3 linked regions of the Bombyx mori genome follow. The main gene of each other region encodes a partner of the protein of the gene in region 2 in a complex. Links are inferred from orthologs where the notes say so. Each region holds a gene or a part of one and is shown on either strand. Other genes may lie near its edges.

Region 1 (4,218 bases), on a different chromosome or scaffold from region 2:
CTGGAGCCCATAGACATCTACAACGTAAATGCGCCACCCACCTTGAGATATGTTCTCAGGTCTCAAGTATAGTAAGGAGCTAAGTTTATTTCTATAATTTTGTGTTACCTTACCAAATATCATCTTTCAATAGAAGTTACAAAAAATGTAAACAAGCTTAAACATTGAAACAGCCAATCTAATGATGTAATGAACTAGAAAACCATTTAAGACAGAATTTTCCACTCATTTGTTGGAGACAATATTTTAGAGAAATTACTTAATTAACATAGTAAGTAAAGTAAAATTTAAATCACAGCTATGCTCCTGTTTCCCTCAAAAATTTATAAGATCGGAATGCAAATATAATACTTAATTAAATTTAATAATATAAATCTGAAAACACCCAATAATAAAGTGACATGTAACTATCTGGCAGCACAACACATGTAATGTAATTAGGTATGTACTTATAAATAAATGATTGTAATAATTACATATATTACAAGTCTTGGAATTTTGTATTTGATAGCGTAAGTACCTACCCAAGGGCTAGGGGTCGTCTGAAATCAATGGATTCAGACTCATCTCAAATGTATGGATTGTAAAACTGTGACTGAGCCTCTAGGAGGCCTGTAATACTGAATATTAAAAAAATATAATCCCACATAAGTAGTTGATATTACCCTGCCAATTTCTGGTACAGAGCCGTTATGCATTAAGTTTGAAGCTTGAGACCACCATACAATTGAAGTGAGACAGCAATATCATGTCTCGAGGGGAGTAATTGATGTTACTTTGAATGAAATATTAAACTTTTATGATAATGCAAATTGTCAAACAATTTTATTTTATTGCAAGGTCAGATAAAGTTTATAATTTATTTACATTACTGTTAAATTATAAAATATTACAAGTTAATGATGATAAGACAATGTCAACAAATTTTTGGATCTTGAGGTTAAATTAGTTTATTAATGTTCCTTGCTATCATATCACACAATATATTTAAAGTTGAAAGGTTATTAATATATAACAAATTAACAAAAAAATATAAACATTACAGAGATTACAAATCACAATAGCACATAATGAAAAAAGTTTACATGTTTACAAACCTATTTCATTATTGACAGTCATTATAGATACCAAACTGGTTTCTGGCGTGATGGCATCTTCCAAATCCTTTAAATTTATAATTCCATTCTGTTGGACTGGTAAATATGTAATTCTGAAACCTTCACCTTCTAAAGCACGACATGAGTCTAAAACACATTTGTGTTCCTGAAGAATAAAAACTCCATTATTACCAAAATATAATTTTTGAAAAAAAAAAAGCAACAATGTAATCTTGTGACTATAGTGTAAGTGTAAACTTGTGTTAATAGACAGACTAAATGAAAATTACAACGACTGAAATAAATAATAAATAACGACGCTTGAAAGGCAAATGTGACTAAGCGACAATAACTGCTTTGTATGAGGCCTATGTCTATAATAATATGAATGATAGGCAATAACCATATTCGATGTGCAAAAAATATATATTTCTAGGTCTATTAAATTCATTTCAATCCTACAGCTAGATTCATTAAAATATAATTTTTTTCGGGTATTTCAACTTTAAATTAGTCTACTGTAAAGTTCACGCATTGTCGCTTAGTCACGTTTGCCTTTCAAGTGTCGATAAGTTCATTCTAATGGCTATGAATCAATCTTTTACTTAGCTATTATAATTTATGCAGTGAGTTAAAAATATAATGTTTATTATAGAAATTTCTACTACTAAAGGACTTTTTTGAATAAAAATAATTAAAAACTTACAATTTGAGTAGTAATGACATGCTTTTTTCTTGGTGCATAAAATCGACCCACACCTTTAACAGATATGTTATTTGATTCTGTTGCTCCTGAAGTAAATATAATTTCTTTTGGTTCAGCATTTATTAAATTTGCCACTTGTTCTCTGGCTTTTTCAACAGCAGCTTCACTTTCCCATCCATACGCATGAGTTCTTGAATGTGGATTGCCATGATAACTTACTAAGTATGGTAGCATTACATCAAGAACTCTAGGATCCTGAAGTTAATTGCACTTAAATCTCCATTCATAAGTGATATGAATAAATGTAAAATTTTCGTATCATGTTCTACTTACCATTGGTGTAGTGGCTTGAGCATCGAAATACAAAGGCCGGCCAACTTCCTCATGTTTTAATGAAAATTTGTCATTTGCTGAAACATGTACTGATTTTAACTTTTTATAATAAATTTGCAACAAAATTAAATTTTGCAGTAAATGTTTATTGAATAACAAATGTATTTGATGTGGGAAGTTGACACGTAATGTATAATATTCCATGTTTACTCAAAAAATTGTGGCAATTGTGATGTAAATGATTAGCACATTTTGTTGATAGGGTAAAAATCAATAATATAGCGTAACTTTGTATAATATTATGACATTGAATATACACTATTAACTTAAACCTTAGAACATAGAAATTAGATACAAAAATAAGTAGGTATAATACTAATTAAATCATGGTAGTTTACCAGAATCGGAAAAAAAATTGCTTTGCTCAAATATAACAACGCCGTTTCCATTTAATTGGGTTTTCTGTTTTATTGCGGATTTACAAACCACCGAAATCACGTTTTTTGTCAAACGGAACATTTTGAATGAAATAAATTAAACAATTTTGCAAGTTTAAAAACAAGCAATTCTTAACCAGAGTCTTGACTAAAATAATTTCGAATTCATATCATTCATTCATATGATTCAATCGTGTGATTGACATTTGTTTTTTTTTTTAATTTATTTACGGCCAACGGTTACAAGACCTTATAGACTATTGACACTTGTTGTCAGGGCAGTGTGACCAGATTTCATTTGATGAATCTACTGCTTGTGGAGGTTAAAATCTACTGAATTCTACCAAAAGAGAAAGAGAAATACTAAAAATCTATTATACTTTTTTTACTGTCGTGTTACAATGTAAATTGTGAAATATTGTTATGTGTATATAACAATTAATTATTTTAATTTAACAATAAAATATAATTTAACAATAAACAATAAAATAATAAAAAGAAACCACAATTAATTAAAGAGACAATGTTCTTGTTTAAATTAAATTCTAATTAAAAATATAATTTTCGTCTTTAGGTTGGGTAACATTTGCATAAAGTTGTTTTGAGTGGACTTTTGGCGGGAACGTGAGGAGTGAAGTTGTGTGATTTGTTTTATTTTGTCTAGTTAGTGTTTCTTCAGATTTAAACGTGTAATAGCGGTGGTTTATTAACTGTTTAGTATCTGTGAAAGTGCACAAATTTGGGAAAATAAAACAAAGCCACTGAACGTAACTTCTCGGGATCTTCCAAAAAGTCCACTGAAAAAGTCTCAGTAAATGACCACCATTTTACTGAGATTATACTTCATCCCATATCATCTCATCTCATGTCATTTCATTTCGTTTTCATTTCACTTTATGCCATGTTTCATCATAATCAACTTCATTTCATTTTATAATATCATTTTCATTTATAAAAGTTACGTATCATTAAAATTAAAATAAGACTTGACCTAAAGGTCTTAGTTACCAGGTCATAAAATACCTTAAAAAAAAAAAGTTGTTTTGAGTCCATTGATATCTTGTACTTCTGTCAGGATCAAATGTGTGACATCAACTGTCATAGCCCCTCTTTTTCATGCATTAGGTATTGCAGCAACATTCTTATTATTAAATCGATTTCGATCTTGATTTTTAATCCTATATTAATAGGATATTAATCAGAAATTATTCTTTCTACTTTGGCTGACAGATTTGGCTGACTTCACTCCAAAATTTATCCACCATAAAAGTTTCAGACGTCGAACTAGAAGTTGACAATAAATTAGACACGGAAACATCTAACTTTAATTCCCTATTTTCTTTGTCAACAATTTGCAGGTTTTGTGCTGCGACTACAAGGTATCGTGATGAATGGGACGTCGCGATATCCTTATGTATATTTATGTTTCATTTTAAGCTCGATTATAAAAATTCTCAATGAAGGAATTCCCACTAGTCTATCACACTATGCTCACGGCACGAACGGTAACGAAAAGAATGAAAATTAAATAGTTACAATCCATTCGATGAAAGGGGGAATTTATCCGTTATGCCAAAAAGTACTAGATTAAATGAAAAGCGTGAATTCTACTAAAATATACAAAATAATTTTTACATACTAAATT
Region 2 (3,665 bases):
CTGAAAACACCCAAATAAATAAAATATCGGCACCTGAAGTTTAAGGATCAATTGCATTTATCCTACTTGCTATTGCAAAACATGGTTTCTCAGTTTTTAAGCAAATTTTTTAGTATCATGCTTTTATTAATTTAACGAAATTTTATCCTAATATGTATAACTATATATGTATATGTTAACAAATAATTAACTTCTTAAACAAAGACATATTTACTTCCCTTATTTAATTATACAGAAATTATTTTAAGATACCATAATTAAATTCTGATTTTTTTGGAAATTTAATACTTATTTATAAGCAGACAGCTGCAGCTTGACTAACATTAACCTAAATAAATTTTGAACCAATTTTGAAATCAGATAAAAAGCTAAGCCTGTTGATGTAGTCATTATTTTAGTATTTTATATGTGTATAAATAAGACATTTACCCATTTGAGTAGTATTTAGTACATAAAATTGAGTTAGCTTTTTATTATGAAATTTTGATTACGTTATTATTAATGTTATGTTATTATTAATTTGAATAAAAACTTTGGATAAACCAACCTGATAATACTCCAAATCTCTTTGCAACAAAATTGGGATCCTATCAATAATATTTCCATCCTCAATAACTTCCATTATCAAATAAAATAAAAAAATCAATAATAAAAAAAACAACTGTATATTTAAAATAAAATAAAAACTGAAATCAAACCAAATCTAAGGAGATTGCCTCAGTTAATGTTTGAAACTAAAGCAAAGCTTATGCTAAAGTATACACACTATGTTCTTATTTCTTATGAACTTCAAACTAAGCTGTGTGAGCACTTTGATAAATCAACTTTATCTTTAACTATCACTGATATTTCTTGTTGCAGGAGTTTGTGGAGTGTGACTCCATCGTGTTTGTAGATCCAGTAGCCTCCTCCCTCGAGAACTAAGTCATAGCGCTTTGGTCCAGACGTGGGGGAGCTCAACCAAATCTGTTTATTTGGTATCTGCCGGTTTATCACATATGTCCCGTGCTTTCCTAATGATATGGTTAATACACCATCCTGAAACATGGATTATTTTATTTCTAAGAAAGAATTAAGAGGCAGAAATGTTTAGGGCTTTTATATTATCATTACTCATTATCATTATCAGTCTGGGTTTGCCCAGACTGTACTGTACTGTTTTAAAGACAAATCTTTAAAACTGTCACATTGAACATAGCAAGCATATCTTACAACAAGATATGTTGTTGGAATGTAATTTTGCCTCTTTTTGCTTTTTGCTCTAGAGTAGTAGACAAGTTGACAGTCAATCCAGTTATTAAATGTTAATTAAATCCCACAAAATACATTCCTTGAGATGTAGACCCACTGCATTCATCCACAATGCGTTTCCTGAGATCTTTTTTGCCAGGTACCATCCGGCTTTCGAATGAGCTTTACTCCACGGTGTTTCCCAAGCCCTACAACATATCCTTATTCAAACGAGGCTTGTGGAGGGTAGATAATGGTAGGCAGCAGCTTGGCTCTACTTCTGGCATTGCTGACTTCCATAAGCGATGGTAACCACTCACCATCAGGTGGGCCACATGCCTATCTGCATACAAAAAAAAAGTCTATGTCTCAAATGCTATCAGAATTGTTACTGTTCTACTCTTATAACCAGATAAGATGACCATAAAAAATATAGACAGACTTTATCCGTTTTTAATATTTAATATTAATTAAACTGTTTTAACAGTATAGAACAGTATTTATTTAGTTTATTTTACTTTACTCTTTATGTTTCAAATACTTTAATCTTTGTGCGCACAGAAAATTACATGTAATAAGAAAATAAGGTTACTCTTTTAAATTATTGACTGTTAATATGGTGTAGTAACATTACGCTTTGAAAAGAATATTTTAAGTTACAACTGGAATTTAGGAAGAGCATACTTTAAATATTAAATTTTATGTTAACTTAAGCATTTGTTTCATTCAATTCCACCTTTTATTATTGGATTCAGTTTCTCTCACAACTAAAGTTTTTGCAAAAGGTTTTATAATGTCCACTTTAAAGAAATTATTAAGTAAGAAGTGGTTAAGTATGTAGTTACCCACATTGAAAATTTAACTTACGCTGTATGTTACGTCAGCTCCTTTCAAATTCGGTGCATCTTCGATTAACTGCTCAAAAAAATCACACAGCGACTCTAAGGTCTCGTTGCAAGCCTCTTCAAATACTAGAGGTTCCTCTTCATTGCGGATATTATCAGATAATCTTCGGTTATTAAAACCACAACTAACATTCAGTCTGAAGTCTTTTAGTATACTACTGCTTTTTCGTATCGCGATGGGGGCGAGACTATTGATTTGCAGCCGCACCAGCCACCGGCCGGTACGTATTATATTCCTAATCATTACGTTAAATTCTACTCCGTAATATTATTTTGATATGCATTCTTCAGGAGGTTAAAGTTTGTTGACTTAATATTGTCAATGTGACGTCTCGTTTGTCATTGTCAGCCTTGACTTTTTGTATCATTCGCAAAGGGAAACTTCTAATAGTATACTCGATTTAACGATTTAAAATCGTTGCCTTTTAATAATTATCTTGATCGATAATATGATTTTGCATTTCAAAAAAGACGACAAAATATTGCAATGGTTGAAATTTCAGGCAAATCTTTGTTCTGCTCTTAATACACATTAAGACATATATTATATATTTAGGGTATTTCGAACAATCAAAAGTCACTAATATGCGTGAAAATTATTCCATAATTCTTGTAAAGTCAATAACCTATAAAATAAACAAAATTAAACGTCATGTATCTTTTAATTTATTGCCTTTGCATGCTTAGATGAACATGCTGATACAGCACCTAATTTATTTGATTCTAAAGAGGGTGTATCAAGAGTATATAATAATATATATATCAACAATATGTATGTGTGATTAAAATTATAAATATTCTTTATTCTTTATGATTAGGTGGTTGAACGAGCTCACTGCCTACCTTGTGATAAATAGCTTATGAGTCCAATATGAACTCGACTTTTCGGACAGGGTGCCAAACCTCATACGAGGTGTCTGCCCCTAGGGGATGCGTGGGGCATATGGGATTTCACGGTCTGCAGATTTTAGGAGTAGACCATGAGATCAAGGATGTTTATGGGGCCCTATCCACCAAACGACCTCCCTGGAACTCTCTCACCCGACGTCCGATCTATATAGGGGTTCAAAACTCGGACAGAGTAGAAGGGGTAGAGATGATAGTCGACGACACTATGTCAGCCGTTCCGGTGCGGCAGTCATTCAGGCCGCATCAGGCGTTGCTGCTGGTGTCCCGAAATATCTCGCTGGACCAGAATGTTACAGCATGCACTACCGTCAGCTTTGGCGAATGACACCGCCGGACGACACTTCTGCAATAAATATTTAAATAAAAAATATATTTATATTTTGTGAATTTTGAGTTGTTAGATAATCGAATTACGCAACCGAAATATAACTTCTTGTTTTGGAAAAAAACTTTATCGCTAAGATGAGTGGACGAGCTCACGGCCCACCTCGTGTTAAGTGTTTACCGGGGCTCATAGACACTTACAACGTAAATGCCGTGACCTACCTCGAGATATGAGACTGACTTCGTTTTTACAGGGCAACGGCTGCCCCACCCTTCAAACCGAAACGCAGTTTGCTG
Region 3 (4,169 bases), on a different chromosome or scaffold from region 2:
TTACTGGCCATTCTCTGCTAAACTCTTTAGTACCTTATATACGGACCTCGGAAAGAGTCTAATTTATAATAACTGCAAGTCAACATCAGCACACAGCCTATTTCCAGTATTTCCAAAAAAGTTAGATTATCATCTTTAATTATCACACCTTCTCCCATTCGATTAGGTTAAATTATTTTATGATGCATACCTGTGTATATGCATACCACATATACATTTAATTGTACTTTTAGTAACAAAACCAATTATAATTATTTAAATGAAAGTTCTGAGACCCCTACAGATTTAATTTGAATAAAAAACTCTGCATTATACTATTTATTAGTCAAATGTACATTATACATTACAGATGTTTCATAATAATATACAATTATAAACATGAAGCTACCGCAGATTTTCGATAACAAGTTTTTCTGTTTTATACATATTTCCAATGGCTGCCTGTAAAACAAGATGATTTCATATATGAATTAATCACAATAGTTTAACCTTTTAGTGCAGTTAGATCAGAGGTGGGGTGTAGTGGTAGTTTTCCAATTACAGAGCATAATGCGACTCAGTGACGCACAATGCCAAATTATGCTGAAGCTTAATTGGAACGTGAATTAGTTTTGAAATGCATCAGCAGAGTGCGCTAAGTTAGCACAGTCTTAATTAACATTGATTATTTCTAAGAAACTACGACGAAACGAAAGCCTTACAATTTTTTTCAACATTAAATAATATTACTAACGATAATATAAACAAAATTTCGATCAATGCCAACTTAAAGAAAAAACACTTGTCAATTTTCTGTCACTGAGTCGGTATCGATTGCGAGTATCACGCGAGAGCAGTACTTTTGAGAGTGCTCAATTGTGCTTCGAGTTGCTGCAGTTGGAACATTCAACGTTGAGCATTATGCCGCATAATGAGCTCTTGTGCTGTAATTGGAAAACTACCAGAGTGAGCCTGAATAGATTGGTACCATAATCTCTCCCAGCTCTCTCAGCTCAGCTCGGCAACCACATTTTCTTATTTGAATGAGAAAAAGATCAGTTGTTTAATATTTTGATCAAATCAACATTTCAAACCCATCACAGTAGGGATGAAGTATACTTTATTTTCATTAATAGAAATTTTAGAAAATTGGTTCTCCTTTCCTGCTCCTGAAGACCAACACTGCAAAATGCACTGCAATAAGACTAAGGACAAATTGTAAAAAGCAAAAGGTGGCAGATTTCCCATTGTAATGTTTATAGACTACCGTTACCACTTAACTGATGTGATATAAAGGAAACCAAGATATAAATATAATACTTTTCTAAATAAAATATAAGCTAATTATCACATGTGTTTGATAACATAAATGAAACATATTCACACACCTGTCTCCTGATAACATTTAAATTTTCTTTTCCAAATTCAAACTCTTTCTTCACAATCTTAACATCAGACACATTTTTATTATCTTTAAAAGCATCTCGAATTCTTCTTAGTGCGTATGCTCTGAAAGGATGAATGGTTAAAATTTAGCATTTTTTGATAAATTGTTGATTAATTAATTCATAATTTATTGAGGCTTTGAAAATCTCGTTCATTTTAATTACTGTAACTCTGATGCTGTAGTTATTAATTGAGGCTGATTTTTTTATTTAATTATCTAATTAAGTTTGCTTAAAATGTGTCTTGTCCGCCTAAAAAACTAAAATAACAATTTAAATGCATGAAAATGATAATCATTTATAGCATCATCATCAGTCTACATAATTTTACTGGACATAGGCCATCCTCAAGCTTCACCACAGTGACTGATCCTAAGCTGTTCAAATCTGACAGATTCTCACAACTTCAACATACTGTGGGTCTACCTTCTGGAAGGATTACTTGTACTACAGATTTTGGTGTAGAGTTGCAATAGTGACCATTTTTTCTATGAGCTATATGCCCCTCACAGTGCTAATTTAAACTCGTTGATTACTTATCATAATGAGTAATTAATATTAATGAAGTGCATTAATATCACATTCATCATTCCATTTACCTGACTCATTTCAATTATTATCCAAATAATTGATTCCAAACAAGCTTGATAATTTTTGATTGCGTTGAAATTCATTTTTTTCGCTTTTTTTTTATAGCAAGGGTGGACGAGCTCACAGCCCACCTGGTGTTAAGTGGTTACCGGAGCACATAGACATCAACAATGTAAAGGCCGCCACCCACCTTGAGATATAAAGTCTAAGGTCTCAGTATAGTTACAATGGCTGCCCCAGCCCCTTCAAACCGAAACGCATTACTGATTCATGGCAGAAATAGGCGGAGTGGTGGTACCTACCCGTGCGGACTCTGAAGACGTCCTACCACCAGTAAATACATTTACTTAAGCCTAATAGAATTTGGTAGCCACATATCATGACAAAATTAAAAATGTATTGACTTTGTTTGTAATTTAAGAAGGTAACAAAATTATGCTTTTGTGTTCACTAGTAACGTTGGAGTAAATCTTTCATTTGTTTTAGGTTATATAATGGTGCAAAACATTACCTGAAATTATAGTTAGGGAACTTCTGGGATTCTCTGAGAAGCAATTTATAGAGAGATAATATTTGTATTTTAGGTATCGCGCCAGACATTTCGCTTTATTATTCGACAAGCTTATTAAAAACTATAATATATTGATAAAAGGTAATACCCAATGATATTTGTCTTACGAATTGTTATGACCAGTTATGACATTACACTCCAGTTTTTTTATGTAAACAAAAATTAGACGTTCCGTATTACACGGTGTTAAACCTTTATTTGTTATAAAATAAATTTATCGTGCAAAACTTTTGAATTGTGATAATAAATGTAAAAGAAGGTAAATTCGTAAGTTTCGCGTCTGGGTAGAAGTTTCAATTCGACTTTGATTATTAGTCACAATTTACACTAGTAAGGATGTAAATTTAAGTAGCCTTTGTCTAGCTACACTACAGGATACCGAAAAGTGTACATTGTCAATTTGGTCTAACGTCAGTAACATCTGATTTGACATTCCCGATGTTTTAATAACATTTGCGATCTGATAATTACAAATTCAAATATTGTTATGCTCGTCAGCCGTCATTCTAAGACATATATAGGTACTTACTAAATTAAACAGTGAGTTAAAAGTTTGATGAAATTTAAATTATTTTAACCAAATTATCCAAAGGAAACAAACAACAAAAGTACTTTGTTTACAAGACTAGCGAAGAAAATTGTCATATTTTTGTCAAAGAAGTTAGGATTTCTAGACCATTTTTAAAAATTCACTTGCCTGCACATTTTGTTGTGTAACTTAGCGGAAGATGATTACTAAACATGTTTTGTATGTAAATCACTTAATATGTGTTATGTCAAGTTATGAAAGTTAGCAAAGGAATACAATTTACATACCATGTAACACAAATATTACATACCATGAAATGCCTAATATTAACTTTAATTTTTAAAAACAATTTTCAAAACTAAAAAGAAATAAAGAGACTATTTCGCTTGGTCATTGAAATAATTATCAGGTTAAAATCTAAAATTCTAAACAGATACTATAATAATAAAAAACAAATTAATGATGAAAATTGAATATCATTAATTAAGTTGCAATGGAAATTAAATTAAATATTATCCATAGTAAAAAAGTAAAGTAATTATATAAGAAGTAGTTTAATATTAATGTATTTGTAATTCAATCCTCATATCTCAAGGAATCTTGTGCTCTTTATATTCTGATTTCTTGTGTGGCCCCTGTGGTTGCTGATTAAAACAGGCAACCATGAGCCATCTGCCATCCTGGCTACTAAATTATTGATTTCAGTTCATGGAATATTCACCATCGCACAAGAATTGGCATGATGAGGAAAGATATCACGTGCACAGCGATGAGAGTCCTGTATTGTCTTACAGGTAATTAAAATTAATTGAAATGTATTAAATCTTACTGGTTCTTTTATATAGAAGTTGCATTAAACTATTATTTATTAAAATTAACATTCGTTGACATTTTAAGGAGTCTGTAAACCCTAAACAACTGAGAAAGACATGAGATGGAATTATCAAAGTTAATAATGTATTCTTAAAAACTTCAGTTATTAACTACTTTTTACTTGTGCTTATTTTAAAATTAAAATTAAAAAGTTATTTACTGCCCTTGTAGACCGATTCTC

What was found. Proteins that work in one complex are often made in the same cells at the same time.
Region 1: frataxin homolog, mitochondrial (region 2) and cysteine desulfurase, mitochondrial share a complex: the UniProt entries of both Drosophila melanogaster proteins name them as parts of the mitochondrial core iron-sulfur cluster (ISC) assembly complex. The link is inferred for Bombyx mori from reciprocal best matches to the Drosophila melanogaster genes fh and Nfs1.
Region 3: frataxin homolog, mitochondrial (region 2) and LYR motif-containing protein 4 share a complex: the UniProt entries of both Drosophila melanogaster proteins name them as parts of the mitochondrial core iron-sulfur cluster (ISC) assembly complex. The link is inferred for Bombyx mori from reciprocal best matches to the Drosophila melanogaster genes fh and bcn92.

What each region holds. Positions count from the first base shown.
Region 1 is NC_085110.1:10,989,680-10,993,897, forward strand, and holds the start of cysteine desulfurase, mitochondrial, read right to left. Parts: upstream 2,851-4,218; 5' UTR 2,656-2,850; coding exon 2,535-2,655; intron 2,214-2,534; coding exon 2,137-2,213; intron 2,059-2,136; coding exon 1,804-2,058; intron 1,264-1,803; coding exon 1,098-1,263; intron 1-1,097. UniProt on the Drosophila melanogaster protein: Catalyzes the removal of elemental sulfur from cysteine to produce alanine. It supplies the inorganic sulfur for iron-sulfur (Fe-S) clusters.
Region 2 is NC_085115.1:238,694-242,358, reverse strand, and holds frataxin homolog, mitochondrial, read right to left. Parts: upstream 2,480-3,665; 5' UTR 2,380-2,479; coding exon 2,098-2,379; intron 1,039-2,097; coding exon 790-1,038; 3' UTR 647-789; downstream 1-646. Other genes in the region: uncharacterized protein LOC134199323, read right to left, coding at 548-622. UniProt on the Drosophila melanogaster protein: Promotes the biosynthesis of heme as well as the assembly and repair of iron-sulfur clusters by delivering Fe(2+) to proteins involved in these pathways.
Region 3 is NC_085108.1:8,217,042-8,221,210, forward strand, and holds LYR motif-containing protein 4, read right to left. Parts: upstream 2,851-4,169; 5' UTR 2,616-2,850; coding exon 2,527-2,615; intron 1,489-2,526; coding exon 1,368-1,488; intron 442-1,367; coding exon 385-441; 3' UTR 304-384; downstream 1-303. Other genes in the region: uncharacterized protein LOC101737726, read left to right, coding at 3,824-3,909. UniProt on the Drosophila melanogaster protein: Stabilizing factor of the core iron-sulfur cluster (ISC) assembly complex that regulates the stability and cysteine desulfurase activity of Nfs1 and participates in the [2Fe-2S] clusters assembly on the scaffolding protein IscU.